Xenopus tropicalis: one gene and its partners. The protein of the gene in region 1 binds, or shares a complex with, the protein of each later gene. Links are inferred from orthologs where the notes say so. Each region holds a gene or a part of one and is shown on either strand. Other genes may lie near its edges. The genes, in order: pard3, pten, prkcz and cdh5.

Region 1 (7,517 bases):
TTCGTTAATTTCTTCAACTTTTTCGTGCTTTACATCAATGTGTGCAACAAAATTATATTTGTCGCAATGACAAATCAAGCTTCGGTATGGTGACTTTCCTTGGGCCGGGTTGGAGCTGCAGAGTGCCATTGAGCCCTATGGGAGACTTTCCTTGGGCCGGGTTGGAACTGCAGAGTGCCATTGAGCCCTATGGGAGACTTTCCTTGGGCCGGGTTGGAACTGCAGAGTGCCATTGAGCCCTATGGGAGACTTTCCTTGGGCCGGGTTGGAGCTGCAGAGTGCCATTGAGCCCTATGGGAGACTTTCCTTGGGCCGGGTTGGAGCTGCAGAGTGCCATTGAGCCCTATGGGAGACTTTCCTTGGGCCGGGTTGGAGCTGCAGAGTGCCATTGAGCCCTATGGGAGGCTTTCCTTGGGCCGGGTTGGAGCTGCAGAGTGCCATTGAGCCCTATGGGAGACTTTCCTTGGGCCGGGTTGGAGCTGCAGAGTGCCATTGAGCCCTATGGGAGACTTTCCTTGGGCCGGGTTGGAGCTGCAGAGTGCCATTGAGCCATATGGGAGACTTTCCTTGGGCCGGGTTGGAGCTGCAGAGTGCCATTGAGCCCTATGGGAGACTTTCCTTGGGCCAGGTTGGAGCTGCAGAGTGCCATTGAGCCCTATGGGAGACTTTCCTTGGGCCGGGTTGGAGCTGCAGAGTGCCATTGAGCCCTATGGGAGACTTTCCTTGGGCCAGGTTGGAGCTGCAGAGTGCCATTGTGTCCTATGGGAGGCTTCTAAAATCATGCACTGAAGGATCAAAGTCGGAAAGGTTTTCACGCTGTTTACGATCGTTCGGACACGAAAATTTTGTAGCTTTTGGATCATACCACAATATTTTCGTACGACCATGATATGGAATCTTCGCAAAATTAACGCACATCGGAAGTTTTCGTTATTAATACAAATTTTTGCCAATTGTACTTAAAAAGATCTAAAATTCGGACTTTGATATGTATGCAGTGCTAAGGGCATTTTCATGCACAGTGCGTTACCTTCACACAACTAACACTCAAGGGTGCGTTCACTTAGCTGGATGCAGTGGTACAAAGTGCAATTTTAAACGCAATCAAGTTTTTCCCCACAATGCACCACTTTCCCCTAGAATTTTGGAATCATTGCAGAAGCAAATTCTCTGTGCCCGATTGAGGCAGATCACGGAAATAGATGGGTGGGACTTGTAGGGTTTTTGAATGAAATTTTCAATAAATCAGCCTACAACATAAGTTTTTTTAAGCACATTCCTTTTACATTTAACAAAGTTTAACACACTGGTACATTTGTGTTTGTTTTAACACAATACGTCCCCTTTCATAAGTCCTAGAGAAAAACCAAACTCTTTTACAGACCAGAAAGGGATAAGCAAACACTGCTTTTAGCTTAAAGGAACAGTAACACTAAAAAATGAAAGAGCTTTAAAGTAATAAAAATATAACGCACTGTTGCCCTGCACTGGTAAAACTGGTGTGTTTGCTACAGTAACACTACTATAATTTATATAATAAGCTGCTGTGTAGCCACGGGGGCAGCCATTCAAGCTGGAAAAAAGGCACAGGTTACATAGCAGATAACAGATAAGTTCTGTCAAATACAATAGTGTTTTATTTGTTATCTGCTATGTGCCTGTGCCTTTTCTCCTTTGAATGGCTGCCTCCATGGCTACACAGCAGCTTATTTATATAAATTATAGTAGACTTTCTGAAGTAAACACACAACTTTTACCAGTGCAGGGCAGCAGCACATTATATTTTAGTTACTTTTATACACTTCCATTTTTTTGGTGTTACTGTTCCTTTAAAGCCACTGAAAATATATTGGAAAATTGCTGAGACTTGCATTAACTTTCATTGTGCTTTTTTTTCTTGTTTTACCTCTCTCCAGCCTGAAAGTCAGTTCACATGAAGGGTGTACCAATCAGCTGGCTTCTGCTCCATTGGTCAGGAGTCCGACTCAGCAGCTGATAGGCATTCAGTAGCAATTACATCAGCAAGTAGCTTTAACATAATGTCACTGTTTAATACATTCTGTATTGCTTGCATTCTTATACATGTAGCCCACTTTATAAACAGTTGTGGCACTACCTGCTGATATGTCACTATACTTGGCGCTTCCAGGAGTCCTGAGCCCCGCTTACTTTGGGGAACAGCTATTACTTTGTACTTTGGCGTGCCTCCACCCAGGATAGGGATAGACTGAACTATAACTCCCCTCCTGAGACTTAATATACTGCTCCTTTGTGGGGACTCCCAGCACTCCTGGCACCTTGCCCCCTCCCTGGGGTAGTTGCTTACCAGGCAGGTGGATCCTCCAGGAGAGATACACACACACTGATGTAATGCTGAACAAAGTGTTGTGTTTATTGGCAGAGTGGTAGACAGCTTTGGCATACAGGATACACAGGATATGTCAGGATACTTTCTCTTTCCCTCAGGAGTCCCTCTCTCCTGGGATACCGGTAACACTCCAGCCAAATGACCCTCCCTTTGGGGTTCCCTCCGGTACTTCTCGCCAGAAGCCCCTCTCTAGGGCACTTCCCGGTACTCCCGCCAAGCGGACACCCCTTGGAGACCTCACTCCGGAAATATCACCCGGCTATCCCCCAGATTAGGCAAACTCCTATTCCTCACTCTTGTATCCCTGACTCCAGCTATCAATGCTGGGAGATCTTAATCTCATCTGCCTCCTGGTGGGGCCAAGCTGCCCAGCTAAATAATCCTGTCTACCACTCCTAGAATGGTCTATGACACACATCTAACTCACTAGACCCAGCCTGTCACTATCCTCTAGCCAGAGGGGTCCCAGGCATAAGACCTGCAGGCACATGGCTGCACAGCCTTATATACTGTGTGCACCCTGTGGCCTAACTACTGAACTGCAGGGAAGCTAAATCCCAGTTAACCCTTATAGTGCCAAACCACCCAAGGTGTCCCACTACTAAAGTGTTACCCTCCCTGGGGTCTATCCTGGGGCAACCATCCTAGGGGACCCAAATTTTGGGGAACCCTACATACATCAGAGAATTAAAAGTGTAACATTACCCCAGGTAGCCTCAACTAATTTCTTCAGCCTGTGAAGAGATAAGAAAACATAACAAACGGCAGTAAATGAACAATAAGTTTAGGCTACAGGCTGAACTATAGGCTATATTTGGTTAGGTAGCTGCTTGGCCGCCAGTTCGCAGACTCCGAGCCGCATTACAAAGTATGAGGCATCCTTATGAGCAATACTATAAAAGCGCGGACTCCCGAAGTCACATCTGTAGCACACAATAACTAGCCCCCGCACTGCTCCTTTCAATACTAAACTCAGTCCTGCAGCCCTATAGAACTGACCAATCACAAATAGATTTAAAATGTTGTGTCCGGACACAACACTTTGTTCGTACATGCGATAGGTTTAGCCGGCTGTCTGTCAGCAGCGGGAGCGCTCGGATTGGTGAAAGCACGTTGGCTCTCACCTGGGGTTGGGTGTGTTGGCGGCGGTCAGACAAGCTTGCCGGAGAAGTGTGGGAGGAGCCTGGCATTCACATGCAGTGTAGAGGGAGGAGGCGGTAGCAGGCCCTGCATACACCGGAGGGCACGGAGTGGAACACGGGAACCCTGGATTAATTGCGTTGGGCTGGGGCGCGGGAAGACCCCGGGGTGGGTTTTTGGCGCAGGATGAAGGTGACGGTGAGCTTTGGGAGGACGCGGGTCGTGGTGCCCTGCGGGGACGGCAACCTGAAAGTTTCCAGCCTCATCCAGCAAGCGGTGACCAGGTACAAGAAGGCCATCGCTAAGGTAGGTGGAACCGTGGGAAATCTATTAGGGAGCCCTGTCTCTGCAAGCAGGGGAGCTCGGCCAGCAGAACACTATTAGTTCTATATATTGCGGTGATACCGCCTATACACAACAACTGCTTGGGAGCCTGAAGTTCTGCATTGCTTAATGGGACTCCCCCCTTCAAGGACACATAATGGGGTATTCCTTTTACTGGAGCAGCCCATTATTTGTCCTTCAATGGGGGTGTCCCCCAGAACTGTGGGCAACTTCAGACACCCAACCAGTTGTTGCAGTAGAAATCCCACAACTGCCTTTAAACATGAGCAAGGGTGGGCTGGGTGTTTATTGGTACATGTGTGCCTATGGGCACCGCTCTGTAACTCCTTGGTACATGTGTGCCTATGGGCACCGCTCTGTAACTCCTTGGTACATGTGTGCCTATGGGCACCGCTCTGTAACTCCTTGCCCCTTCGTACATGTGTGCCTATGGGCACCGCTCTGTAACTCCTTGGTACATGTGTGCCTATGGGCACCGCTCTGTAACTCCTTGGTACATGTGTGCCTATGGGCACCGCTCTGTAACTCCTTGGTACATGTGTGCCTATGGGCACCGCTCTGTAACTCCTTGGTACATGTGTGCCTATGGGCACCGCTCTGTAACCCCTTGGTACATGTGTGCCTATGGGCACCGCTCTGTAACCCCTTGGTACATGTGTGCCTATGGGCACCGCTCTGTAACTCCTTGCCCCTTCGTACATGTGTGCCTATGGGCACCGCTCTGTAACTCCTTGGTACATGTGTGCCTATGGGCACCGCTCTGTAACTCCTTGGTACATGTGTGCCTATGGGCACCGCTCTGTAACTCCTTGCCCCTTGGTACATGTGTGCCTATGGGCACCGCTCTGTAACTCCTTGGTACATGTGTGCCTATGGGCACCGCTCTGTAACTCCTTGGTACATGTGTGCCTATGGGCACCGCTCTGTAACTCCTTGGTACATGTGTGCCTATGGGCACCGCTCTGTAACTCCTTGGTACATGTGTGCCTATGGGCACCGCTCTGTAACTCCTTGCCCCTTGGTACATGTGTGCCTATGGGCACCGCTCTGTAACTCCTTGGTACATGTGTGCCTATGGACACCGCTCTGTAACTCCTTGGTACATGTGTGCCTATGGGCACCGCTCTGTAACTCCTTGGTACATGTGTGCCTATGGGCACCGCTCTGTAACTCCTTGCCCCTTGGTACATGTGTGCCTATGGGCACCGCTCTGTAACTCCTTGCCCCTTGGTACATGTGTGCCTATGGGCACCGCTCTGTAACTCCTTGGTACATGTGTGCCTATGGGCACCGCTCTGTAACTCCTTGGTACATGTGTGCCTATGGGCACCGCTCTGTAACTCCTTGCCCCTTGTTACATGTGTGCCTATGGACACCGCTCTGTAACTCCTTGGTACATGTGTGCCTATGGGCACCGCTCTGTAACTCCTTGGTACATGTGTGCCTATGGGCACCGCTCTGTAACTCCTTGCCCCTTGGTACATGTGTGTCTATGGGCACTGCTCTGTAACTCCTTGGTACATGTGTGCCTATGGGCACCGCTCTGTAACTCCTTGCCCCTTGGTACATGTGTGTCTATGGGCACTGCTCTGTAACTCCTTGGTACATGTGTGCCTATGGGCACCGCTCTGTATCTCCTTGCCCCTTGGTACATGTGTGCCTATGGGCACCGCTCTGTAACTCCTTGCCCCTTGGTACATGTGTGCCTATGGGCACCGCTCTGTAACTCCTTGCCCCTTGGTACATGTGTGCCTATGGGCACCGCTCTGTAACTCCTTGCCCCTTGGTACATGCGTGCCTATGGGCACCGCTCTGTAACTCCCTGCCCCTTGGTACATGTGTGCCTATGGGCACCGCTCTGTAACTCCCTGCCCCTTGGTACATGTGTGCCTATGGGCACCGCTATGTAACTCCTTGCTCCTTGGTACATGTGTGCCTATGGGCATCGCTCTAACTCCTTGCCCCTTGGTACATGCGTGCCTATGGGCACCGCTCTGTAACTCCTTGCCCCTTGGTACATGTGTGTCTATGGGCACCGCTCTGTAACTCCTTGCCTTTTGTTACATGTGTGCCTATGGGCACCGCTCTGTAACTCCTTGCCTTTTGTTACATGTGTGCCTACGGGCACCGCTCTGTAACTCTTTGCCCCTTGTTACATGCGTGCCTATGGGCACCGCTCTGTAACTCTTTGCCCCTTGGTACATGCGTGCCTATGGGCACCGCTCTGTAACTCCTTGCCTTTTGTTACATGCGTGCCTATGGGCACCGCTCTGTAACTCTTTGCCCCTTGTTACATGCGTGCCTATGGGCACTGCTCTGTAACTCCTTGCCCCTATTTTCCTGTATACATGTCTGGGCTCCATAGTTTTCCCATTTGTGTGAATTTCATATAAACGTCCAGCCTATTGTAATGTGTGTGGGGTTTCTATTTGCCAAGCTTTCATGGAACTAAATCCCTGTTTATTACAATTATCAGCATGCAGTTGGCACTTTGGGAAGTTAACATGCTCACATTTCACATTATAGGGTGTACTTGTGGCAGATGCACTCTAGTTCTCTTTGGTACTCCAGTACTCATTTTATTGGCTGGCAACTTGCCGGCAAAAACCTAAGCGGAGGGCAAGCACTGTCAAAGCGTTCTTGTGTATGTGGCTTCATTATAATTATGGTCAGGATGTTTCTAATGGGTGAGGCCTGGCTGTGGGCATGTGTGGCATGGTGAAAAAAAAGGCAAAGTAGCTCTAAAGTTGTGGGATGAGATTGTAGTCACTTGGCAAGCTAGAAGAATGAGCCCACTGATTTAAACTATGTTCCTATCATACTGAATATTGGTCACGGGACTGGACAACTTCTTGTTTTGTTTATGTTTGGCCGAGTTGGAATGCTGCTGGTCAGAAAGAAGTCATTTCGGCTTAGCTGGCAGAGAGGCAGAATTGTCTGTTGAGCCTTGAAAACTTCTGTTGTGGAGGGAAAATAAAGTAGACCGATTGTGGCGCAGCGTGATTGCTTCCAAATTCGTAACAAGCTGGAACAAACAGAACCCAGGATTCTGTCTGGGGATCTGGATGAAGCCAGAGATTCCTGGTGATATTCGGCCAATTGAACCTAAACCAAATATTTCCTGTCATTTCACTGCAGAGGAAGCTGGGGGTCACAGAGTTATCACTCACAGGAGCTGGACCATTGGCTGCCTGTCTCATCTGAGGTCTGATTTTGTTCAGTATTTGTATGTATGTATAACTTTATTTATAAAGCGATACAAGGATAAGCAGCGCTGTACAATATATACAATTACACACAGGGAGGACAAGTGTCATAATAAATACAACAAAAAAGTATAAATAGAGAGACATTAAATGCCCTGTGGTATGAGACACAGTTGGAAGGTGGTCCTTGCCCTGTAGAGCTTACAATCTAAGTTCTTGATCTAAAAAAATCTTTCTCAGTCCTTTGTGTGGATACCCTCTTAATGCAACTCTTGTTATATACAGTTTCTGTTTGTAACCACTTGAATGCAGTATATAGGATAAGCCAAGCTATGACACATGCAGGGTTTTGATTGCCGTTAAAAGGATCAATACACTCATTTTCTCCCCTGATCTTCCTGCAGGGACTGAAACATCATACCCACTTCTACAGATAAAGATGCATTGGGGCTGCTTTG
Region 2 (7,084 bases), on another chromosome or scaffold:
GTTATTCTTTCTATTTGGTAACTAGGCAATAAAACCTGATCCATTCAGCCGGGTGTCAAGGGCCCTTTAATTATGTAAATATCAATTATTTTCCCCGGGCATCTGATCCCTTTGCATCTGGTAACCCCCCCTTTATAGTAAAAACAGTTTTTATTTTCTGCCAAGATGCAAGCCATGCACATATATATATATATCTACAGTATCTCCAATGCGGTAGTAGAATTCAAACAGGACTTTGTTCCTACATAAATGAGAAAAAAATCCCCTCCCCCAACAAAAGCTGACAGTCTCTCTAGTCTAAGGCCACATTTATGCCTGCGCCGTTTAAAGTAAACTTTTAATATGTTATAAAATGTTCTGTTTCTAGAAACTTGGTCTGTATTATTTTTTCTACTTTTTTAAATTATTTGCCTTCCTCTCTTCTACATCTATTGAACTTTCAAATGGCAGTCAGTGACCCCGGCAGCTAGAATGCTATTGGTCTGTGATCTTACAATGTTGTTTTAACTTTGTTTCTTATCTTTCTATCAAAGCCCCGTCATTATTCATATTCTTAGCTGGTTGCTAAGATAAGCTAGACCCTAGCAACCAACTAGCTGAACGTCGGCAGCTCTATAAAAGTAATGAGCCTGATCCAACCCCTGTCATAGTAGTCGGTACTGTGGCACCTGTTATCCAGAATGCTCGGGACCTGGGTTTTACGGATAAGGGATCTTTCTGTAATTTGAATCTCCATACCTTATGTCTGGTAAAAATAATTTAAACATGAAATAAACCCAATAGGGCTGTTCTGCCCCAATAAGGGGTAATTATATCTTAGTTGGGATCAAGTACAGGTACTGTTTTATTATTACAGAGAAAAGGGAATCATTTAACCATGAAATAAACCCAATAGGGCTGTTCTGCCCCCAATAAGGGGTAATTATATCTTAGTTGGGATCAAGTACAGGTACTGTTTTATTATTACAGAGAAAAGGGAATCATTTAACCATTAAATAAACCCAATAGGGCTGTTCTGCCCCAATAAGGGGTAATTATATCTTAGTTGGGATCAAGTACAGATACTGTTTTATTATTACAGAGAAAAGGGAATCATTTAACCATTAAATAAACCCAGCAGGGCTGTTCTGCCCCAATAAGGGGTAATTATATCTTAGTTGGGATCAAGTACAGATACTGTTTTATTATTACAGAGAAAAGGGAATCATTTAACCATTAAATAAACCCAATAGGGCTGTTCTGCCCCCAATAAGGGGTAATTATATCTTAGTTGGGATCACGTACAGGTACTGTTTTATTATTACAGAGAAAAGGGAATCATTTAACCATTAAATAAACCCAATAGGGCTGTTCTGCCCCAATAAGGGGTAATTATATCTTAGTTGGGATCAAGTACAGGTACTGTTTTATTATTACAGAGAAAAGGGAATCATTTAACCATGAAATAAACCCAATAGGGCTGTTCTGCCCCCAATAAGGGGTAATTATATCTTAGTTGGGATCAAGTACAGGTACTGTTTTATTATTACAGAGAAAAGGGAATCATTTAACCATGAAATAAACCCAATAGGGCTGTTCTGCCCCCAATAAGGGGTAATTATATCTTGGGATCAAGTACAGGTACTGTTTTATTACAGAGAAAAAGGAAATAATTTTCAGTAATTAGAATGATTTGCTTATAATAGGCCATCTCCCATAGACTTTCTGTAATTTAGAACTTTCTAGATAATGGGATTCCAGAGAATGGACTAGTTTGTTTACTGCCCTATATTGCAAATGTGAATTCAGCATTGTATGGTGAATTTACATTGTGTGTATACTATACATTGTTAGTGAGGTAAATGGCGGCAGCCCAGGGCATCGGCAGAAAAGAAGATGGGAAGCTACTGGGGGCATCAATATTGCTAATGGGCTGTTGTGGCCTAAGGCTAGTACACAAATTCCTTTAATAATGGACAACTAAAGCCTAACAAAGAACAGGCTAGAAATGCAAAACATTGATCACCATGGGCCAAAGAAGCCGGGCTTGTATAGCAGAGTTTCATTCCAGTAACTACAACCCCCCCCTCCCCAATAGTCCTAGTTAATAGGGCATTGCCAAAATATGTATATGTCATTTTCTTTATAAACTATAACATGGGAAAATGCTTGCAAGACCTCTAAGAATAGAGGCTGGGGCCCTACTCCAAGGGATGATTATAAGCAAATAAACCACATCTTTTAAATCAGCGTTTTTCAACCGCTGTTCCGAGATGTTGCCTGGTGTGCCGTAGGCAGGGCCGCAATTTTTACTTTAAAAAAAATCCGAGCCCTGTCATTGGTTGCGCCCCGTGTGTATGGGTGACGTCAGTACGCACGGGGCGCAACGTTATAAAAGGGCCTGTGTGCGGTCGCGTGTAGGCAGAAGTGCAGAGGCGGCGCGCGTGAGGGGAAGATGCTGCTGAAGCCGCCGAAGAGTAAAATGCTGCTGGGCACCAATGTATTAAGGGGGGCCACGGGGCACACTGACTTATGGGGGCACTGCTGCTGGGCACCAATGTACTAGGGGGGCTGGCTCTTGGCACCAATGTACTAGGGGGGCACTGCTGCTGGGCACCAATGTACTAGAGGGGCACTGCTCTTGGCACCAATGTACTAGGGGGGCACTGCTGCTGGGCACCAATGTAACAGGGGGGCACTGCTCTTGGCACCAATGTACTAGGGGGGCACTGCTGCTGGGCACCAGTGTACTAGGGGGGCACTGCTGCTGGGCACAGAGTTAAATTTTTTAACATTTTCTAATGGTGGTGTGCCTCGTGATTTTTTTCATGAAACAAGTGTGCCTTTCCCCAAAAAAGGTTGAAAAACACTGGTTTAAATGATACAATGGTGCAGACATCAGATCTCTGATGTGACATTAAGGAAGACACACAGAGTTACTAGTAGCAGCTACTTGTCACGGCTACTAAATGCCAGAAAATCCCCTGCCATAGACAATACTGAGAATTGCCTCTGCTAAAACACACGTAGAGACAATTATCAGTAAATGATCAGCATTGTCTGTATCTGTAGCTGCTACTAGTATCTGTGTGTCTTCACCCTAGAACAACAGGCTTTTCTTTCTCAATAACCTGCTTTCCTTCAGACCAACTAACAACCTCTCTGTATTCTCCTAGATCCCCAGTTTGTCGTTTACCAGCTGAAAGTCAAGATCTTCACCTCAACAGCAGGTCCCAAGCGCATCGAGAAGTTGATGTATTTTGATTTCCCCCAGCCTTTGCCCGTTTGCGGGGATATCAAGGTAGAATTTTTCCACAAACAGAACAAAGTGATGAAAAAGGTTAGTGTGGCTTATTTTTTTTCTAAGCAATGTTATAAATATGTTCACACACGGTTACACAACAACTGCACAAGTGTCCATTTAGGGTGAAGAGACACGGAGCTACTAGTAGCAGCTACTTGTCGTGGCTACTAAAATAGACAATGCTGATTATTTACTGATAATTGTCTCTACGTGTGTTTTAGCAGGGTCAGTTCTCGGTATTGTCTATGGCAGGGGATTTTCTGGAGTTTAGTAGCCATGAAAAAGTAGCTGCTACTAGTAGCTCAGTGTGTCTTCACCCTTACGGCGTTGGATTTCTTGCCCCTGAAGACTCTGGCAGCTTTGGGTACGGTGCCCTGGCACAAACGTGGTGCACACACACTCATAAAGAGAATGTCTGGTCCATTTATTCCGACTAATATTCCTGTTTAATCTGTATGGCGATGTGAACGTTTGCATCTGGGACGTTATTTGCATCACGTGTAGCTGTAATTAACTATAAATGACCGGCTCTTATCAGCCATACCTCTGCTCTGTCACTTGAATTAAATATTTACACACAAGCTACTTGCAAGTACACCCTGTGAAACAGAGCCACACACTAGTTTAAGGCTGAACCCTGACCTGTGGGAACGAACGCCAGCTTCATCTCTCCTTGCCTTCCCATTGGTGGCTCATGCGTGAAGGCACTGTGGAATATTGTAGGTTTTTTTTTTATCGTTTGAGGAAGAAAGGAATCATAAAAAATAAAGCAAACTGTTCTTCCTTTGCAACAAAGTAGCCTTTATCTGACAGCATTGATTATCAGTTGATCATTTACACTTGTGGCACTGTAGACTAAACATTGGGGCTGTGGGGCATGTACTTTAATCACAGCTACTTGTGATAGCAAGTCACACACGGGGCCGACTCTCAGGCTGCAGCGGGGGCTGTTTCTCTTCCTGCATTTAAGCACAGCCACTAGCCAATGTCTTTATACCCCCCAGTCACAGGGCATTTTTTATCTTTTCTAATAAGTAGTCCTCTGTTCTTGCCATTGGTTTCCTTGGGAACCACTGTTAGTCAATCTGCTGTGTGCTACAGCGCCCTAAATGTTGACCGCACTATTTATGCTTTTGTATAACTGATGGAATTTATTTACACAGGCAAGTAGGCCCTTGTTTATCTTACACGGAAATAAGGTTTGGATTGGAATAAGACGTTTTGCTTTTGTAAACTTGTCAAAAAAGGCAAATAATGCAACATGTGGGAGTTCTGAAAATCTCCTGTTCAGAAAAACACACACATATATAATATAGTTAAGTTGGGTTGAAAAAAGACCAAAGTCCAACAAGTTCAACCCTTCCAAATGAACCCCAGTGCACATATAGACAGTCTTACCAACCTATCTATTCAACTCACATTAACTATATATACCATTCTCTATACCAGCTGTAGATTATACAACCGAAATAGCCTTTTCATTGTTTGTTTATTTCATTGCTTGTTTAAGAAATCGCCCAAAGCCACACTAAAGCTAATGTCCTACAGAGTGATTTAGTCATCTGCTACCACTGGTGACTAAAATGCCTTTCCAATCGCCAGTGGAAAGGCTTATACATTGCGGAGATCTATCTCAGGCAACTAAGGCTAATGCACCACTGGGAGATCAGTCGCCCACCATCAATCTCTGGTACCTTGGGCAACTAATCTCCCAAAAAGCATTTTCACTGGCGCAGTGTTTCCTTCTGCAGGCAACTTCGAGGTTTAGGCCTTTTCCATTTATTGCTGGTGGGAGAGCTTTTCGGGGAGATTAGTCGCCCACAGTAGTAGAGATTTATCATGGGCGATTAATATCCCCTAATCTAAAGGCATTAATTGGCAGAGCAGACATCTTATCAGTGCTCTTTGGCCTATGGCACATGGGGCATTTTATCCCCCACTGCCCACAGACAGAGGCGCAGACAAAATGCCCCTCTCCACCTGTCATTAATCCAAATACTACAGGATAAAAACGTAAAGCAGTGACATGCAGAGAGGGCCATCTGTTTCAGCTCTGTGTGCATTGAATAGGGCACATTCAGTAGTAGTCTCCGTAATGACAGATGTGGGGGGGGGGGTTGTTTGTCCTCCGCTGTTCATCAACTGGGGGCAGTGGTTGACAAAATGCCTGATGTGCAGTTGGCTGACTAAAACATCTCTTTGGCTTTTTGTTTGATATCGGCAATGGACTCTGTTGGTTACAAAGTGTTAAAGTACTTGTGCGTTCCACCAGTGGTCAGTCAGACCTCGTGACAGCTATCCAGTGTTTACTTTAGAGCCTGTAATGTTTGTAGTTCATAGAAACCAGTTCCATTGTATCAATGGAAATAGCCATTCTGTAGTGCTGGAGAGGGTCTAATTTGCAAGGGGTCAAATGCCATTCGTGACTCCCCACACACCTACAAGAGGCAAATATTCCTTATAAATGACCGTTACTTGGATGACTCGTGTCCTCTACACACACAAGCCATACCTTTACCAACATGGCCACTCCTGGCCCAGTCCACAGCCATACCTTTACCAACATGGCCACTCCTGGCCCAGTCCCCAGCCATACCTTTACTAACATGGCCACTCCTGGCCCAGTCCCCAGCCATACCTTTACTAACATGGCCACTCCTGGCCCAGTCTACAGCCATACCTTTGCTAACATGGCCACTCCTGGCCCAGTCCCCAGCCATACCTTTACTAACATGGCCACTCCTGGCCCAGTCCACAGCCATGGCTTTACCAACATGGCCGCTCCTGGCCCAGTCCACACAGCTCCTTTTGAATACTTTTTCATTTTTACGAAGCCATTGAAGGTTATTTCCTGCAGCACTGTTTACTAAAAAAAAAATTGTGTTTTTTGTTTTCAGGAAAAGATGTTCCATTTTTGGATAAACACATTCTTCATACCAGGACCGGAAGAGTATTCAGAAAAAGTAGAAAATGGAACGTTAGTCGGGGAGCAGGAGCTTGATGGCATATACAGTACAGAACGTTCAGATAATGACAAGGAATATCTCACCCTCACTTTAACTAAAAACGACCTAGATAAAGCTAACAAAGACAAAGCCAACAGATTATTCTCTCCAAACTTCAAAGTAAGTACCCAAAGCCTTGTTTGATGGAACGCACAAATGTACTGTACCCTGCAGCCAAATGGCTGGCATCTGACATACCCTCCGAGGGGCGCTTCAGCTGGCATTTACTGAGCTACATGCTCGGCAGGAATCCTCACTGCCAGCTGACTGAACTGCAATACATAGCATTGCGACCAATCACAGTGAGGCTCCCCTGGTTGCAGCAATTGCACAGAGAGTTCTCCATTACCTGCCTACAGTAGCTGTGATTAGTAGTGATGTGCAGAGTGAGAAAGTCGCCCCTAACCTGCCCACTTCCTACCCGACCCAGCTTCTGCCCTGTATTTATAGGCCCGCGTCCATCCCACCCTGCAATGATGTCACAAAACTGAAGGCAAAGGCTGGTAGTGTTAGGTCGTGGGCAAGCTTCAGTACATTGCTATTACAGGTATGGGATCCATTATCCAGAAACCTGTTATCCAGAAGGCTCGAAATTACAGAGAGGCTATCTTCTATAGACTCTCTTTTTTGATAAAATAATTAAAATTTTTTTTAGAAATTTCCTTTTTCTCTAATTATAAAATAGTACCTTGTACCTTATTGGAGGCAAAACAGTCCTATGGGGTTTATTTAATGTTTAAATGATCTTTCAGTAGATTTAAGCCAGGGATCCCCAACCAGTGGCTCAGGGGCAACA
Region 3 (7,686 bases), on another chromosome or scaffold:
GTTGCTGGATTTTTTTTATAGAAGCTGCTTTTCATAACAATAATTTTAACCTTCCACATTACAGCTCCTAGGCTCTGTCATATAAATTAAATAATTTTTTATTAGATTGAAGGTAGTGACGCGAGAATAGGAATGACAAGGAAAGGATGAAAGAAATACAAAAGCACAGAGAAGTTTGTATAAGAATTATAACACCTACATAATGCTCATTGAAGGACACAAGCAGAAGGAATAATTTTTGTGAAAAACCAGACAAAAATAGCAGAAAACCAGAAATTGTGTATCTCTTTTGAATTGTCTTGAAAACCAGTGCAATAAACACAGAGATAAGAAAGATTGACTAATGTCAAGTAAGTCAACTGTACTTTGAACACATTCTTTATATGAAATGGCATAATTCCCAGAATAATAAAACAATGATACATTACCTAAATATTTTTCCAATGTCAATAAAAAGTAAACTATGTTTTTATTGATTATATAAATAATTTGATGGACTATTGAGACTGTGCATCTGAATAGAAACTCATGTGGAAACAACTCTTGTAAAGAATAACCTTGGCAACATGATTTTTATTTATATTTCTCTCAGTTTTTCTGCAGCACCAGTTGTGTGCTTTTAATGGATACACCTTTGATCCATCTATTAAACTTAATTATTAATTGGTTATTGACTCTCATGCAACCATGACATCAAGGACTAGATTCTTTCCCATTGGAATCCTCACCTCTGGGTCCCAATATGGGAGAAGCCTTTTTTCAGAACTCCCATTGTGTCTCCTTGGGTAAAGCTGTGTGCCTTTTTGCCATAAGGCCCTAGAAGTAGATTGGATGGGTACAATGATAGAAAAGTGTCTGCTGTAAAAACACCCCTTTGGGACCTCACATTATATTCTGTGAGACTACTGGTAATTCAATTATTTTCAAATAATGAATAACGGTGAAAAGGGCAACTTTGGGTAAAACCAATCCGAGACAGGTACCTACAATTATGCTATGCTGCTATGTGCTAAACAGGCTAGGAGAAAAAGGTTCCCTAAACACAGGGGTCCCCAACCTTTCTTACTCGTGAGCCACAGTCAAATGTAAAAAGACTTGGAGAGCAACACAAGCATCATAAAAGTTCATGGAGGTGCCAAATAAGGGCTAATATTGGCTATTAGATAGCTTCTATGCACACTGTCAGCTTACAGGGGGCTTTATTTGGGAGTAAATCTTGTTTTTATTCAACCAAAACTTGCCACCAAGTCAGGAATTCAAAAATAACTACCTGGTTTGGGGGCACTGAGAGCAACATCCAAGGGGTTGGTGAGCAACATGTTGCTCACAAGCCACTGGTTGGGGATCACTGCCTAAACCTATACAAATGATCCACCATATTTTACTGTTGATACCCTGACATTCTGCAAGCAAAACATACCCAACATCAGGCAAAGTATGCAGTTATTGTGACCAATACACCAGGCTTTCACTCCTTGCATTACCCTCTGCATTAGTATCTCATCTATTGGCTTTGTAACTGGGCCACCTTGCCCATGTGGTGATGTCCCGGAGGGGAACTCGCGCTGACAAACACTGGAGGGGGGGGGGGGGGATGAGAGGCCTATCGGCCCCTACCATTGTGCAATAGGCAGGTGCCCCTACTTCGAGCCCTGCTTTATAGTGTGCCACAAAACTCACCTGAGCTTATGTACTAAACACTGGACAAATATTTATGTAGGCAGTAACACATAGCAATGCATCAGTGATTAGCTCTATCCAATAAAAATAATGTTTCCTCGGAGTGGTCACTAACCTGTTTCACCAAATTTTAATGTAGATGCGTAGATGACAAATCAATGCCACACAGGTAACTTGAAGAGTTATAAGACATATGGAAGCATATTTACTAAAGTGTAAATTTTCTTTAACTCTACCAAACTCAACCTCAATCCGGCATTTTTTCAAAACATTGCATATTAACTTGAATTTGAAAATGTTATTTGAATTTAGCACATTCAGAATAAATACCAGGCACAAGCACTTTCCTTCTCTATGGATTACTGGTTTTTTCCTGAACAATGTTATGCACTTTATTAATATTAATAATAAGGCTACTGCACTCTACACTATAACACCTTTAGAGCACTTACTTCCTCACAGATACTTTTCCATGTGAATCATACAGGAAAGATATACTAAGAACTGCCATTTACTATATCGAACGCTATAAGTTTTAGCATCATAATAGGCAATTAGGCATGGAAAGAACAGAATACCACAGAGACAAGTTTGGCCCTTTGTTAGGAGTCTAACCTCCAATATTTTGGTTATAGTTGGAACCATTTTATAATGTTGTTAATACTAGTGAGCAGCTGTTAAAACCTTTACACGCACACTTATCACGACGTTTAAGAAACGAAATTGAGTTTCGCAGAGCAACCTGCCAGCCAAGAGCATCTCAGTGACTATTTACAGCGTTTCCGTTCTTTTATTGTATAATTACTAATGGTCATGCATATTTTCACACTAGCGCTCCTTTTTGTACACGCCCAGGTAATGTTTTATTACAACAGGTGAATTCCACAATCAGCAATGCACTGTGACTCAACAATAAACGCGCACATTCCTTCAGAATAGTGACAGCTCCCTACAATCCATCCTGTTACTCAGTTACAGGTTTATAGCCTTGCTTCCCTTTCCCAGTGTATGACTGGCTGCAGGTGTAATCTCCTTTGTCCCTATTGGTTAATCCCTTGAGTCCTGCGGCAGGTAATTAACATTCGTCTTGCATTGGACAGCTAACCTTTGGCCGGCCTGTGTAATTGGACACTGTATTTTCAATACGAGCACGCGATTTGCTGGAGAGCTATCGGAGAGCTCTGCTATTGGCTGCCACTAACACCCAGTTTACTCCGCCATGTTTCGAGAGTCCGAAGTGCTTCGCAAGGAGAGACTCTTGAGTTTTAGCCGGGGAGTTGTTTGCCAGCGGCGCTGACAGGCAACTGTTTGGTAGCGCCAGGAATTTGGCAACTAAAGAGGCGGGTCAGTGTGCGCAGGTGTGAGGGGATGCTTGGAGTTGTTGCACTGTGACAGGGTTAGACGAGCTGGTACTTATTAACCCTCTCGTATCCGCTGTCCAGTGACGCCTCCTGTATCTCCTCCCTCTCGGCTCCGTAATGTTCGTCCTCCGATTCCGTGTTACACCGGGGGGTGGGGATATCGGCTGGAGTTACGGCCGGGAGTAGCTGATCGGGCTCAGTGGAGAAGCCGAGCTAAAAGGAAGTGTGTGTATCAGTATTGCAGGTAAGGGACAGGCTGACTCAGGTATTTTCTTTCTATACGTGTGTGTATCAAGTGTCCGGTGTCCTAGCTTCCTAGCTCCCATCATCATCATCATCATCATTATTTCTTTACTGTTTCTTTAAATAGAGATCACCTGGCTTCCTGTAGGGAGCTAAAATGACAGCACTGGTTGGGAGCTGCAGTTCAGCTTTTCCATCACCTGCTGAAGTTACCTAGTGATTGTTGAATTCCTGTAGAGGCCGGATTAGAGCTGCTGTAAAGCACTTTAGTACCAGTAACACTGCAATGATTGTGCCCCAGAGTGGTGACAACAGTTGTGAAGGGGAAGTTCTCATACTCACAATGAATATTTATTTCCCATATAATACAAGCTTTTTGTGACCAAGTTTCATGCTGAAAGCAATTCACCTCTGGGAAAGCTCATTCTGTGTTTATTATGGAGGCTGAAGAAGTTCACAGTAAAAGAGTAATGCAACAGATATTGTTGTCCTATGTCACTGTGAATGCTGTGTAACTGGTTAGGGTACTGATTAATAACTAGCTACTGATTGCTTAGTTACTCACATAGAGTGCCTCTATTTCCTTCCGCATCACACATTAGACAATTGGCAGGTTGCCTTTTACATTCTGAATGTGGTATAACAGTGTTTTTCAACCTTTTTTGGGCAAAGGCACACTTGTTTCATGAAAAAAATCACAAGGCACACCACCATTAGAAAATGTTAAAAAATTTAACTCTGTGCCCAGCAGCAGTGCCCCCCTAGTACATTGGTGCCCAGCAGCAGTGCCCCCTAGTACATTGGTGCCAAGAGCAGTGCCCCCCTAGTACATTGGTGCCCAGCAGCAGTGCCCCCCTAGTACATTGGTGCCAAGAGCAGTGCCCCCCTAGTACATTGGTACTACGGCACACCAGGAAACATCTCGCGGCACACTAGTGTGCCGCGGAACAGTGGTTGAAAAACGCTGTGGTATAAAAATGTATTTAATATAAACAGTTTAAGGTGATTTGCAAATTATGCAGAGACTGTTTTTATTCTAACAATATGTAAGTTGTTTGTTATTAAATATTAGATTATATTATTAATAATTATTTGGCTCTGGGTGTATGATTAAGGAAGATTTATACATGTATGCTTCACATATGATGTTATCCAAGCTCTTTTACATCTATGGATGGTTTAATGAGCCCTGTATGTTTTTAAAGTAAAGGTGGCCATACATGGACCGATTCTAGCTGCTGATATTGGTCCTTTAGACCGGCCTGTGTGTGGGCACAAATGACGGGTCTGCCTGACCAACATCTTGCATGAAATCGTCCAGATCTCATTCAGGCAGGTTTGATTTTTCAGTTGGATTGGGGACTGCATCAGCTTGTTAATCCGGTCCCCAAACCAACTGCGCATATACCCGCCAATCTAATTCGAATTAGCCCGATATCGCCCACCTGTAGGTAGGGATATCGGGAGAAGATCCGCTCAATTGGCAACCTCGCTAATCCGATCTGAATAATTATTTGCATATGAAAATTAGGCCATGCAGGGGCTAAAGAGAACTGTATTTGGTGAAAAATTTTCAACTTCTATGTTTGTGACAAAAAGTCACGTGATTTTAAGGATACAGATTAGGTTTGGCCAGACACGTGGATTTGGCTGGATCCAATTCCTGTTGAGGAAGTAGTGGGGGACACAGCCAAACGATTGCTCTGCGAGGAACGAAGGAGTTGGCCGGGAACGTACGGAGACACAAGGGAAGAGATGTAGTGAGGAGCAGAGGAATGGAGGGCTTTGAAGGTTAAGAGAAGGAGTTTGTAAGATATTATTTGTTTAATAGGAAGCCACAATAAGGGCTTTAGCAGGGGGAGGGCCTGAACTCTCCTGGATGAGAGGAGGTGAACTCTGGCAGCAGTATTTAATATAGACTGTAGGGGGCAGAGATTGGAGTTAGGGAGGCCGGTTAGTAGCTGTAGCTTTTTTGCTCCTTCCCAGCTTTCAAATGGAGGTAGAGACTCTAGCAGCCAAAATCCCCTTTGCTCTGTGGGGCCCACTCCTGTTTGTCTCTCAGTCTTTCTATTGCCTTATGGTTGCTAGCTTTCAATTTACTTTAGCAACACTACAGAAACATGTTGCTGCTTAAATTCTGAAGTGCTGCTAAACAAAAGCTAAATTAAAAAAAAAAGAAAAGCAATTGCAGATTGTAGTAGCCTACTGCTGTCTAACAGGCAGAACTAGAAGGTATAATTTAAGACCAATTAAAAAGTTGCTAAGAATAGGCTAATCTATAACCTACTAATTAAAAAATGATCTACTACTTTGAGTCTTATATACTAACATAGGAGCTAATTTGCCAAGAGCAGTCAATCAGGAATTAGATCTGATAAGTCTATTACAAGTTAAGCTAGTCGTTCATGTTTATACACAAGTTTTCAGCCCATGTATGGGGCCCCTGGAAGATCCTGCTTTGAAAATCCTGTTGGATGAGGATTGCATTTGAACACTGATGTGCTCCTCTTCCATCAGGTAAAGTCATGCAGCGGGGAGGGTACCTGCGGAATATGTTGGGATGGGGACGGAACATACCTGATGTCCCCAATGTGTGGATGGCCCACAACTACCCTATTAGCTGCACTGAGGTGGGCTACAGGGGACCATTTAAGTTGTGGGTTGGGTGGAATTGCATGTGGGAAAGAAAGCAGGTGTGGGTTGGGCTTAGGGTAAGCAGATATGGGTTGGGTGCTGGGACTGATGCAAATTCTTAATTTCCTGAGGAATTTACCACATAATGGTCCACCTGTAGACCTTCAGTTCTCTGTATGGTGACCGTGCTTTGCAAATGAACTTGGTCTGTAAATAATCTCCTATTTGCTAGTGTCTCCCATAAACACATGTGAGAGCAGACTTCAACCCTGAAGCACTTGCATCTAGCTTCCCTTGGTATCTTCTAGTAAACCGTAAATGTAGTAGGTGCAATGTGCTACATACCTTGGTCACAGTTTACAACTTGAGCATAGAATTGCTATAGCTCTGTGTCCAGGATATAAAATGGACCCACATAATAAAAGCCCCTTTTCAAAGTAAATTTTAAACCCCATTTTCTTATTGAAACATCTTTACTGGTACAGGTATGGGACCTGGGCTTTTCCGAATAAGGGATCTTTCCGTAATTTAGATCACCATAACTTCAGTCTGCTAAAAATCATTTAAATATTGAATAAACCCCATAGGCTGGTATTGACTCCAATAAGGATTTATTATATCTTAGTTGGGATCAAGTAGAAGGTTCTGTTTTATTATTACAGAGAAAAAGGAAATTATTTCTAAAAAATTTGAATTTTTTTCTTATAATGGAGTCTATGGGAGATGGTCTTTCCATAATTTGGAACTTTCTGGATAACGGGTTTCCGGATAATGGATCCCATACCTGTACCTGTTACAAATGTATTTAAAAATCCGTCTTTCAATCTTTTGTTGCCTTCCCTGCCTCTATGCCTCAGGTATAGCAATCACTTTCTATTTTACAGTTGCTAAATGTCACTGCACTCTTGACATTCCACTTCTCTGCTAACATCTATAATTGTGAAGCCTGTGACTTGACATGGACATCAGGTCTCCTATTCGGGGGCATACACAAGATTTTGGGATGATGCAAAGCTTGTTTTACTGACAATGTCCATAAAATGGCGCCTTCCTGCTTGCTGTGAATCCAGTGAATTCCAAGACTGAAGGGAAAATGTTTAAATAATTTATATGGTATAAGTAAAGTTAATTTTGCTTGACCACCAGCATAGTGAAACTTTTAGAATGATTTTTTAGGGTTAACAGTCCCATTGAACCTACTGATTTTTCTTCTTGATAAGCTGAAGGTTCCCTAAATGACTTATTGTGGCAGATATAGGTAGAACACCAGTAGTTTAGCATTGCAGTAAAGGTATGCTTTGAGCAATATAAGTTTTGCTTGACTCTATAAAAGGGAAATAACCTTTGTGCGGGCTGTTATGGTGTCCCTTTTTTCTAGTACATTTCTGCCGGAAGTCATTGAGATATTATTGATTTAGCAGATTTTGGGACATATTTTGTATTTCCGGAACTAAAAGGTACTTTTGTCTTTCTGGATTGGCTTTGTCAGTTTTTACAATGAGGGAACCCTGAAATATTTAAGGCCATAGGGACCCTTTACATGCATTGTCTCCATCTCTCTGTTAATATACAGTTTGTCTGATGGACACACTGGAATTGTGAGTATCTATCAAACCAGCTTCTTATACATGGAGATAATTCTCAGCACTATACTCTGCACTTTGGCTTATTGATTATCTGCTGCAGTGTTGTAGCTTACTGGAAACCTTTACCAGCACCATCAGATACATGTGTCCATTTGTTTTCTATTCTCATAAATTGTACAGTT
Region 4 (7,823 bases), on another chromosome or scaffold:
TGGGTCAGCTCATGTGGAGGCTATTGCCAGTGGGGTACATCAAGCTAAGTCATTAAGATGTATCTGGGACAGCACAAACCTGCACGGCTGTAATAACTAACCTACAAAGCAAAGGTACTTACTAGCCTGCTAACATCTGTGCTATTTATACTATTTTTAGGGAGGAAGGCACATCTCTATATATTCATATAAATACATAAACATTATTGCACATATGGTGTTCTGAGAATCATTAAGCTTCTGGTAAACATGAAATTATCATTCCACAAAGCAGCCATTTAGACTGGCAGGCAAATGCTATACACTGCTTTATGTTTGATAGGTCTCAAAATTTGTTTTTAAGTCATGGCTTTCTCAGTTAAAAAGCAGCAGTATAATGTCATGTCTAACCCTAACCAGCCATGTTTCTGTCTTGAACCAGGGGTTGAAGCAGCAGCTACAGCCCAACTCAATATACTCCCAAAGACTGATTTACCTATGTACCAAAGTAGTTGTAGCTGCCTTGCTTGTATCCATAGCAAAACTGCATATAGCTTCCCCTAAAATTAGATGCTACATATAAACTTTTTAGCCCTCTGGAAACTTTCCTGTACAGAACACTTACTAATATTTGCAAAGCACATTTTTATTATTTTTCATTTTTATCTCACAAAACTAATTTGCTTTTATGCAAACATTTTTGTGGGCTTGTACTCTGTTGGCAACTTTAGAAGAAACTGTTAGTAGAACTAGCATTATTGCAGATGTTGGCTTTTATACATATATATATATACATACAGCAAAAGAAGGATTTGCGCACACAGGACTTATGAACACAAAAGGGATATATTTGGCACAAAGAAGACAAATGCCAAAGGGTAGCAAAAGCTATATTTACTTTTAAATGCATACATTGTAAATCATACTTCCCAAAATCTGTTTTAACAATTCACAAAATGAACATGTTTTCTAAATAATCCCACAGCCTGGGTGGATCAGTAAGTAGACTCAAAAATCACTCAGAGCAATACTCTACAGAAAATAGATTAAATCCTGCCAACTATCTAAAAACACTGTGGCCAAGGGGCCACATGTAATCCTTTGGGATTATAGATAAACAGAATATAGAGAAAGATAATATTTACACCATCATTATCAAAAAATCCCCCAAAAAATGTTTCTACTCCAATGGTGTGCATTTGCTCTTAAATCCATGCAAACAATTGCTCATACTCCTAAGTAGACCTGTACTAACAACTATTTTGGTCCATACTACAGGACCATATGTATACAGTATTGTTAGGGTTCCTGACCGCAGACTGTAAGTGTAGGGACATAAGGGAGCCCTCCTGCCAGGACAAAGACGTAATTACGGGAACAAGAAGGACACAACCACAATGGAAGTTCAAACTTGTTCAGTTTATTCTTACGTGCTCATAACTTTTATACCTTTGGTGTATGTGCAGATACAAAGGAATTTATTATAAAAAATAGAATAGGATCTCATTAGCTTCAAGGCTGCCATTCAAGGATGGCAGGTGCAGGACAGGAATTTAAGGAGGACAAAAAGATGCATCAGCGCACAGATAAGATTATGTTGTTTTTCAAACCGTATATTTCGCAAGGTGCAAGCCATGCAAGGGTACTATTTGGGAAAAACAACTATTATGGGATGTTCAAGCCTGCTGTTTGCAGTTACAAAATGGAGATACATTTCTAAAATGGAACCTGATATGCTAAGCATCAAAGTGTATCAAAGTTACCAAAGTACACGCATATATGAATATATGATTATATCGATAAGAGAAAATAAGATATCATATCAAACCTCACAAGTATGCTTGAAGAAACAATGTTCTTAAATAATTGTATCAAAAGTTCTGTACTGCCAGTTGTCCACGTAAGAGGTTAAGACCTGATGGTCATTTTAGTTATCCCATTTGATTGCTGATGTAATTGATTTCATAGGGTATGTTGTGTGACATCAGGGCAGATTCAGTTTAAAGAGGAAAATGTATCTCATTGTTTTTAATGTGAGAAATCATTAAAAAATCTATTGGTCTATTCAGGGTTTGAATTAGGGTTTTCCTACTGAAATTGAATATTTTTTATAATGTTTTATGCAATGTGTTTTTGCATGAGCAAAGTGTAAACTATAGGGGTCATTTATGAAAATCCCAGACAGAAGTACAAGAGCACTAAGGGGTATGTCCCTTAGTATTTTAGCAGAAAACACTGCCATCCAGGGTCTGGCTGCCCTGGCTGCAGAACACAGCTTTGGTAGGAGCAGGCCAGTCACGTTCTTTCTGCTGCCATAGGACAGGAGATAAGTCCCGATTTGTTCCACGTTGCTCCTTGCCTTCCACATAGTAAATTACCCTTTATACATTTAATTATTTTCTGTTCACTGGTGCCAAATTTCTTATATGACCCACCATTCAATACTCCAAAAATAATATGGCTGCCACAAAGGTTCTCCAGAATCTCCAAAGTGTTTCAATAGACAGGCAACAAAAGCAAACTTTAAAACTCTATTTGGCGTTCTAGTCTGCACAAGTTTATCTAGCTTCCTCCACTCACTACAAAAGTTTCAAGCAACAGCAATGTGTAGAACAATAAGAGGAAGGAAGTCTGTAGGGTGGGAGCTGTACTAATTCCAGAATTGGACATTCTGTTGTTAAACTCCTGCATTTATCCAACACCAGCCTGGTAATCCGTGTGTGATTTGGTATCCTGTGGATTATTACAGATTTTTTAAGTATTTGAAGTTTTACATTTTGTCAGCAAGGTCTCTCACAACTTTGACTTAGGTAAGTGAATTTCATCTTTCTTGTGGAATTTAACTAGAAGAGAACCAGTAAAGGTGTATTATGTTTTTAGAGCATTATAGAAAAAGGAAAGAATGAGTTTGTTGGGTATGTGGCAGAAACATATATTGAGTTTATGACAGACCTCTAGGTATACAAGGTTTACTTTTTTATCAGTCAAAATCTGATCTGACATAACAAGAACATATTCAAAACCTGTGCAAACCCAGTGCACTCATCATCATCATCATCTTCTTAATAATGCAACCAAACACAACTCAGTTAGATTTTTACCTAGTTCTTCTCATGAGTAGAAAGCTAGAATAGTCTAATATTTCAAGGTAAATGAGAATATTTTATATATGTCCCTTTATTAAAGTTTTACAAAATCCCAATCTTAACTATTAAATTCTACAAACAGCTATTACACATAGGTTAGTCAGGGCCTTATATACTGTACATCCTGCCTTTGTTTCAGTGGAAGAATAAGGCACAGGATGCTCTCAACACAGAAAATTCACTGGTGGGGGCTACCATTTCTATGGTGGATGCAGGTGCATTGTGGGCAAGTTACATTTAAAAACCTAATAAATCAAAACTACAATGGCCAGTTTGGGGTTTTAAAAACAATAAATGTTGTATTCTGAGAGATGTTTGTCCTAAAGTTTTTATTATGTAAAATGCATTCTGTCATTTGGCACGATCATTTCCACTGATGGCACAGTTTTGTTGATGCTTTCAAGTGAAGGTAAACCCTACTTGACAGTGTGACTAGTACATTTTATTCATTTATCACATATAGCAATGTTAATTAGCTTCTGATGAAACTGGCCCTGGTGATTTTAGATTGAAAGCCCCTATTGCAGCAGGAACTTATGTATGGTGATCTATCAAATGTTGCAGAATGTGTCAGTCATGTAAACAAAGGATAATTATAATAATACAAATAAATTACAATTTCTGTTTCCATTCCCTTTTACCACTTTTCCTCTCACTTCCAACCCCTCACAAAGCCTCTCTGATTTTCTTGAAAAGGTGAAACCATTAGGGATTCACACTTGTGACTATACAAACATAATGATGTGTCTGTCTAAGAATAAATATCACTTCAAGAGATTTGAGCTGGTCCTGTGGGGCCATTGTGGGAGCTAGTGACCTGGGCAACGATAAACCTTTGGCAAGTGTCAAAAACATATTTACTTGCTTATGAACTAGAATGCCCACAATGGTACCTAGAAGCATTGGGCAATTAAGAGAGTTCGGGCTCTTGGTTGTTCATACTGACCCATGCAGTTAACCCTACAAACGTCTACTAATGTCAGAAGGCACTACTATAGGCTAATAAATAATAAGCACTAGGTAAGGAAAAGTACTAGTGTTACACAGCACAGAAATCTAATAATAGCTGCCTGTATATAGTGTGCATACAACCCCAGCAAATAATAGGTAATGGAGGTTATGGCCCCAGGAGGGCCCCCTAAAAGCTTTTAATGAAATGCCCCACTGCACAGAACAGTCTACACACGGTACACCTGAAAGGTACATACATTGCATCCCACTTAAGCTTATGTGACATGGGAATATAAGATCTTCTACTTGTATCCAACAAGAAATAGATTGCCTTGTTTCCTCTAAGTGAATAACAGGCTACTGACCTTTCACAAAACACATGAATCTTGTGCTAACATGATTACATAAGGCCTTACAGATGAAGAGTGTGCCACACTGCTCTATGAGCCACATAAGGCTACTCCAGTTAATACGAGTTATATAGTAACATAGTAACATAGTAAGTTGGGTTGAAAAAAGACATACGTCCATCAAGTTCAACCATAATGCCTATATATAACCTGCCTAACTACTAGTTGATCCAGAGGAAGGCAAAAAACCCCATCTGAAGCCTCTCTAATTTGCCGCAGAGGGGAAAAAATTCCTTCCTGACTCCAAGATGGCAATCGGACCAGTCCCTGGATCAACTTGTACTGAGAGCTATCTCCCATAACCCTGTATTCCCTCACTTGCTATCCATCCAGCCCCTTCTTAAAGCTATATAATGTATTCGGGGAGGGAATTCCACAACTTCACAGCTCTCACTGTAAAAAATCCTTTCTGAATATTTAAATGGAACCTCCCTTCTTCTAAACGGAGTGGGTGCCCTCGTGTCCGTTGGAAGGACCTACTGGTAAATAAAGCATTAGAAAGGTTATTATATGATCCCCTTATATATTTATACATAGTTATCATGTCACCTCTTAAGCGCCTCTTCTCCAGTGTAAACAGACCCAACCTGGCCAGTCTTTCTTCATAACTGAGACTTTCCATACCCTTTACCAACTTAGTTGCCCTTCTATGGACCCTCTCTAACTCAATCATGTCCCGTTTGAGCACTGTGGGATCTCACCTTATCTAGCACTTGTGATTCTATGGGATCTATGGAACTGGGCTGATTGCAGTGGTGTTGGTAAAGGCACAATAAATGAGTGGAAATTGTAACACACACATAGGGTTTCTAGGATTTTGAAGACTTTTTTTAAGGCAAATTAGGAAATCTCCAGTGGCAAAGGTGACAATAAGATGAGCAAAATACAGTCAAGCCTATAAGAAAAGCAGCATGTGACCCTTTTACCATAAGTTGCTCAGATCTGTCTCGTGGTACGTCCAACATATTGACTGCCCTCGGTATTGGATAATTATTGGATAACCATTATGGATGGACCCCTTGATCATCATTATCATCATATTTGTTTATACAGTGGCAGCAAGTTACACAGCAGTTTACATTAATTTATAAGTGTTACACAATAAAAATAGTATCAGAGGGCCCTGCTTACTAAAGTTAACTTTTTAACAATAGCTTCTATGGATTTGTTTGGGCAGTCTTTATCAACAGTCGCATGTAAAGTTACCATCCACAGAAGATCAATATTGTAACTGCCATTGTTGTTGGCTTAAAATTGGTTAACCACTAGTGCTCCCTAACTTGTATATCTGAATAAAGTGTAAGTTAAGGGGCACTAACGACAGGCCTGCCCGACCGACATCTGGCCTGAAATCAGGCAGATCTCGATTGGATAGGTTTGATTTTTAGTCGGATAGGGGACTGCATCAGCTTGTTCTAATTCGATCCGTTGTTCTAATTCGATCGTTTGGCCCCAAGGACAAACAACAGAATTGGCCCAATAAACCCACCCGTAGGTGGGGATATCAGGAGAAGATCTGCTTGCTTGGCAACTTCGCCACGTGAGCGGCCACCTTTAGGGGTAGGGTAGGGGATGGCCAAGACAACTAACTGCCTCCCTCCTGCCCATCCCTGTTGATTACAGGCAGTAATGTATTCATGAGCTATGCATGCACTGTATTGTGGAATGGAAAGCCCTGTGGAAATTCAGACATTGGAGGGAAGAGCAAGGGGGCTTTTGTCTTTGTGATGCTGTCCAGATGGAAATTATGTTTTTATCAGAAGCCAAATTGTTATTTTTAGTAACAGGGGCACCAAAAAGTTGCATCTATGTGTGTTTTCTTTTCCAGATTCATATTTACAATGTAATTCAGAATTCAGATTTAATTACAAGTACAGTAAGAGGGTGGGTTTTTTCGTTTTGTTTTTTTTGTTAGTGATTGCATTACTTGGTTCGGTTATAAGATGATTCTTTTCAAGCTCCAGTTAAAATGACTCAATTTCTTTGCAATGTGAATATAATAGATTCAGAGTGGAGTGGTAAAGGTTTCAATGACGACAATATCTCTGGAATTTCCTCATTGTGTATAGAGAATGCTGCACGGTGCAAAAAATATGCTCAGTATACAACAAAAGAGCAGGAACTCTGTGGAAGCGCCATCATATCCTGTTTTTCTTCAAAAGGAAAGCAGGAAACTAAACTGTAGTTAACAAGAACTGGTGCTCTCGCCACTATCTATGCTGGTAAATGCTCAAAATCCCAATGTAGATATGTCATAACCATCTAACACATCTCATGCATATCTGTTAGTCGCATCTCCCTAAAATAGCCGTCTGTTAAAAATGGCAGCTGCGTGTGACATGGCTTGATCCTAACAGAAACCACAGTAAATAAGTAGATAAATGTTTCCCTTAACCCCTTTAAATTATGGCACTACATCCGGATTACAGAGGGTTCAGGGTGCATAGGCAATACAGCAGTGAGCCTAGGCTTGGGAATATTGTAAATAAGCTGCAGCACTCTACAAGGAACAGAAAGGGTATGACACTTTTTGTAAAGGATGTTTTAGTGTATTTCCTCTGCCCTTAGTGCTCTATCCCCAGTATACATGTTTCACTAAATGGGTATTGATTGATGATTCATGTAGGATTTATATAGGACCACTACAGTTCTGTTCACTTAGCAAGTATAGCAGGAGCTGTACAAATGTACTCCGAAATTCCTGAACTCCATCTGTGTATTTTGTCATCAGGGGAATGTAATAGCAGAAATACTTTAATTATTCAGCAAATTTCTTTTTTGTTTTTTTGTTTTTTTTTAAATCTTTCTCTATGAATAGTTATCAGGGATCAATAGAGATCCTCAGCCCCTATATTGATCCCCATCTATATGGTAGCCACGGCCCACTGCACAATAAAAAACACAATGGGTCATTTACATCTGCAAGTGCTTTTCCCTGCAGTGAGTTGCACCTAAAACCATTTGTGTCAATGTGCGCTGTTTGCACTTCTGTGCCTTTTGATACACGGGAACCCTGAAGCTACAGCCACCTCCTGAACAATAGGTAGCTCCAGGGTTCCCTTAGTGTCCTGCGTCAATAGACGCAATAGAACCAAAAGAATAGGATGCACATTGCACCAACACAATATACACCAGAAAAACCACCAGGCTGAATTTGCAACAAAGCACACATGCAGTTGCATCCATTTTGATGAATAGGATGCAACTGCGGTGGATGCAGCCCGATTGAGCCAAGTTAAAAAGTAAACATGGTGATTGCCCTCAATATTTTGTTGCTATGGGCTACTGGACCAGAAACGAATGTCGAACCTTTTATCTCATTACCCCCAAAGTGTCC

The links.
Region 2: the proteins of pard3 (region 1) and pten are in contact, whole or in part, in an NMR structure (PDB 2K20), measured with the Rattus norvegicus proteins. The link is inferred for Xenopus tropicalis from reciprocal best matches to the Homo sapiens genes PARD3 and PTEN. Residues at the interface, in NP_112514.1 of Rattus norvegicus: Ala599, Gly600, Leu601, Gly602, Val603, Ser604, Val605, Lys606, Gly607, Asn608, Arg609, Ser610, Lys611, His614, Lys622, Ile625, Met659, Leu662, Arg663, Met666; in NP_113794.1 of Rattus norvegicus: Asp393, Glu394, Asp395, Ser398, Gln399, Ile400, Thr401, Lys402, Val403.
Region 3: pard3 (region 1) and prkcz share a complex: the UniProt entries of both Homo sapiens proteins name them as parts of the par polarity complex. The link is inferred for Xenopus tropicalis from reciprocal best matches to the Homo sapiens genes PARD3 and PRKCZ.
Region 4: the proteins of pard3 (region 1) and cdh5 are in contact, whole or in part, in an NMR structure (PDB 2KOH), measured with the Mus musculus proteins. The link is inferred for Xenopus tropicalis from reciprocal best matches to the Homo sapiens genes PARD3 and CDH5. Residues at the interface, in NP_296369.2 of Mus musculus: Ala599, Gly600, Leu601, Gly602, Val603, Ser604, Val605, Lys606, Gly607, Arg609, Lys611, Lys622, Ile625, Asn655, Gln656, Met659, Arg663, Met666; in NP_033998.2 of Mus musculus: Tyr774, Gly775, Asp777, Gln779, Glu780, Glu781, Leu782, Ile783, Ile784.

What each region holds. Positions count from the first base shown.
Region 1 is NC_030682.2:21,706,971-21,714,487, forward strand, and holds the start of pard3 (partitioning defective 3 homolog), read left to right. Parts: upstream 1-3,505; 5' UTR 3,506-3,694; coding exon 3,695-3,814; intron 3,815-7,517. UniProt on the Homo sapiens protein: Adapter protein involved in asymmetrical cell division and cell polarization processes. Seems to play a central role in the formation of epithelial tight junctions. Targets the phosphatase PTEN to cell junctions.
Region 2 is NC_030683.2:12,941,356-12,948,439, reverse strand, and holds part of pten (phosphatidylinositol 3,4,5-trisphosphate 3-phosphatase and dual-specificity protein phosphatase PTEN), read left to right. Parts: intron 1-3,155; coding exon 3,156-3,319; intron 3,320-6,180; coding exon 6,181-6,408; intron 6,409-7,084. UniProt on the Homo sapiens protein: Dual-specificity protein phosphatase, dephosphorylating tyrosine-, serine- and threonine-phosphorylated proteins.
Region 3 is NC_030683.2:91,510,141-91,517,826, reverse strand, and holds the start of prkcz (protein kinase C zeta type), read left to right. Parts: upstream 1-2,925; 5' UTR 2,926-3,285; intron 3,286-7,686. UniProt on the Homo sapiens protein: Calcium- and diacylglycerol-independent serine/threonine-protein kinase that functions in phosphatidylinositol 3-kinase (PI3K) pathway and mitogen-activated protein (MAP) kinase cascade, and is involved in NF-kappa-B activation, mitogenic signaling, cell proliferation, cell polarity, inflammatory response and maintenance of long-term potentiation (LTP).
Region 4 is NC_030680.2:57,817,893-57,825,715, forward strand, and holds the start of cdh5 (cadherin-5), read left to right. Parts: upstream 1-2,643; 5' UTR 2,644-2,789; intron 2,790-7,823. UniProt on the Homo sapiens protein: Cadherins are calcium-dependent cell adhesion proteins. They preferentially interact with themselves in a homophilic manner in connecting cells; cadherins may thus contribute to the sorting of heterogeneous cell types.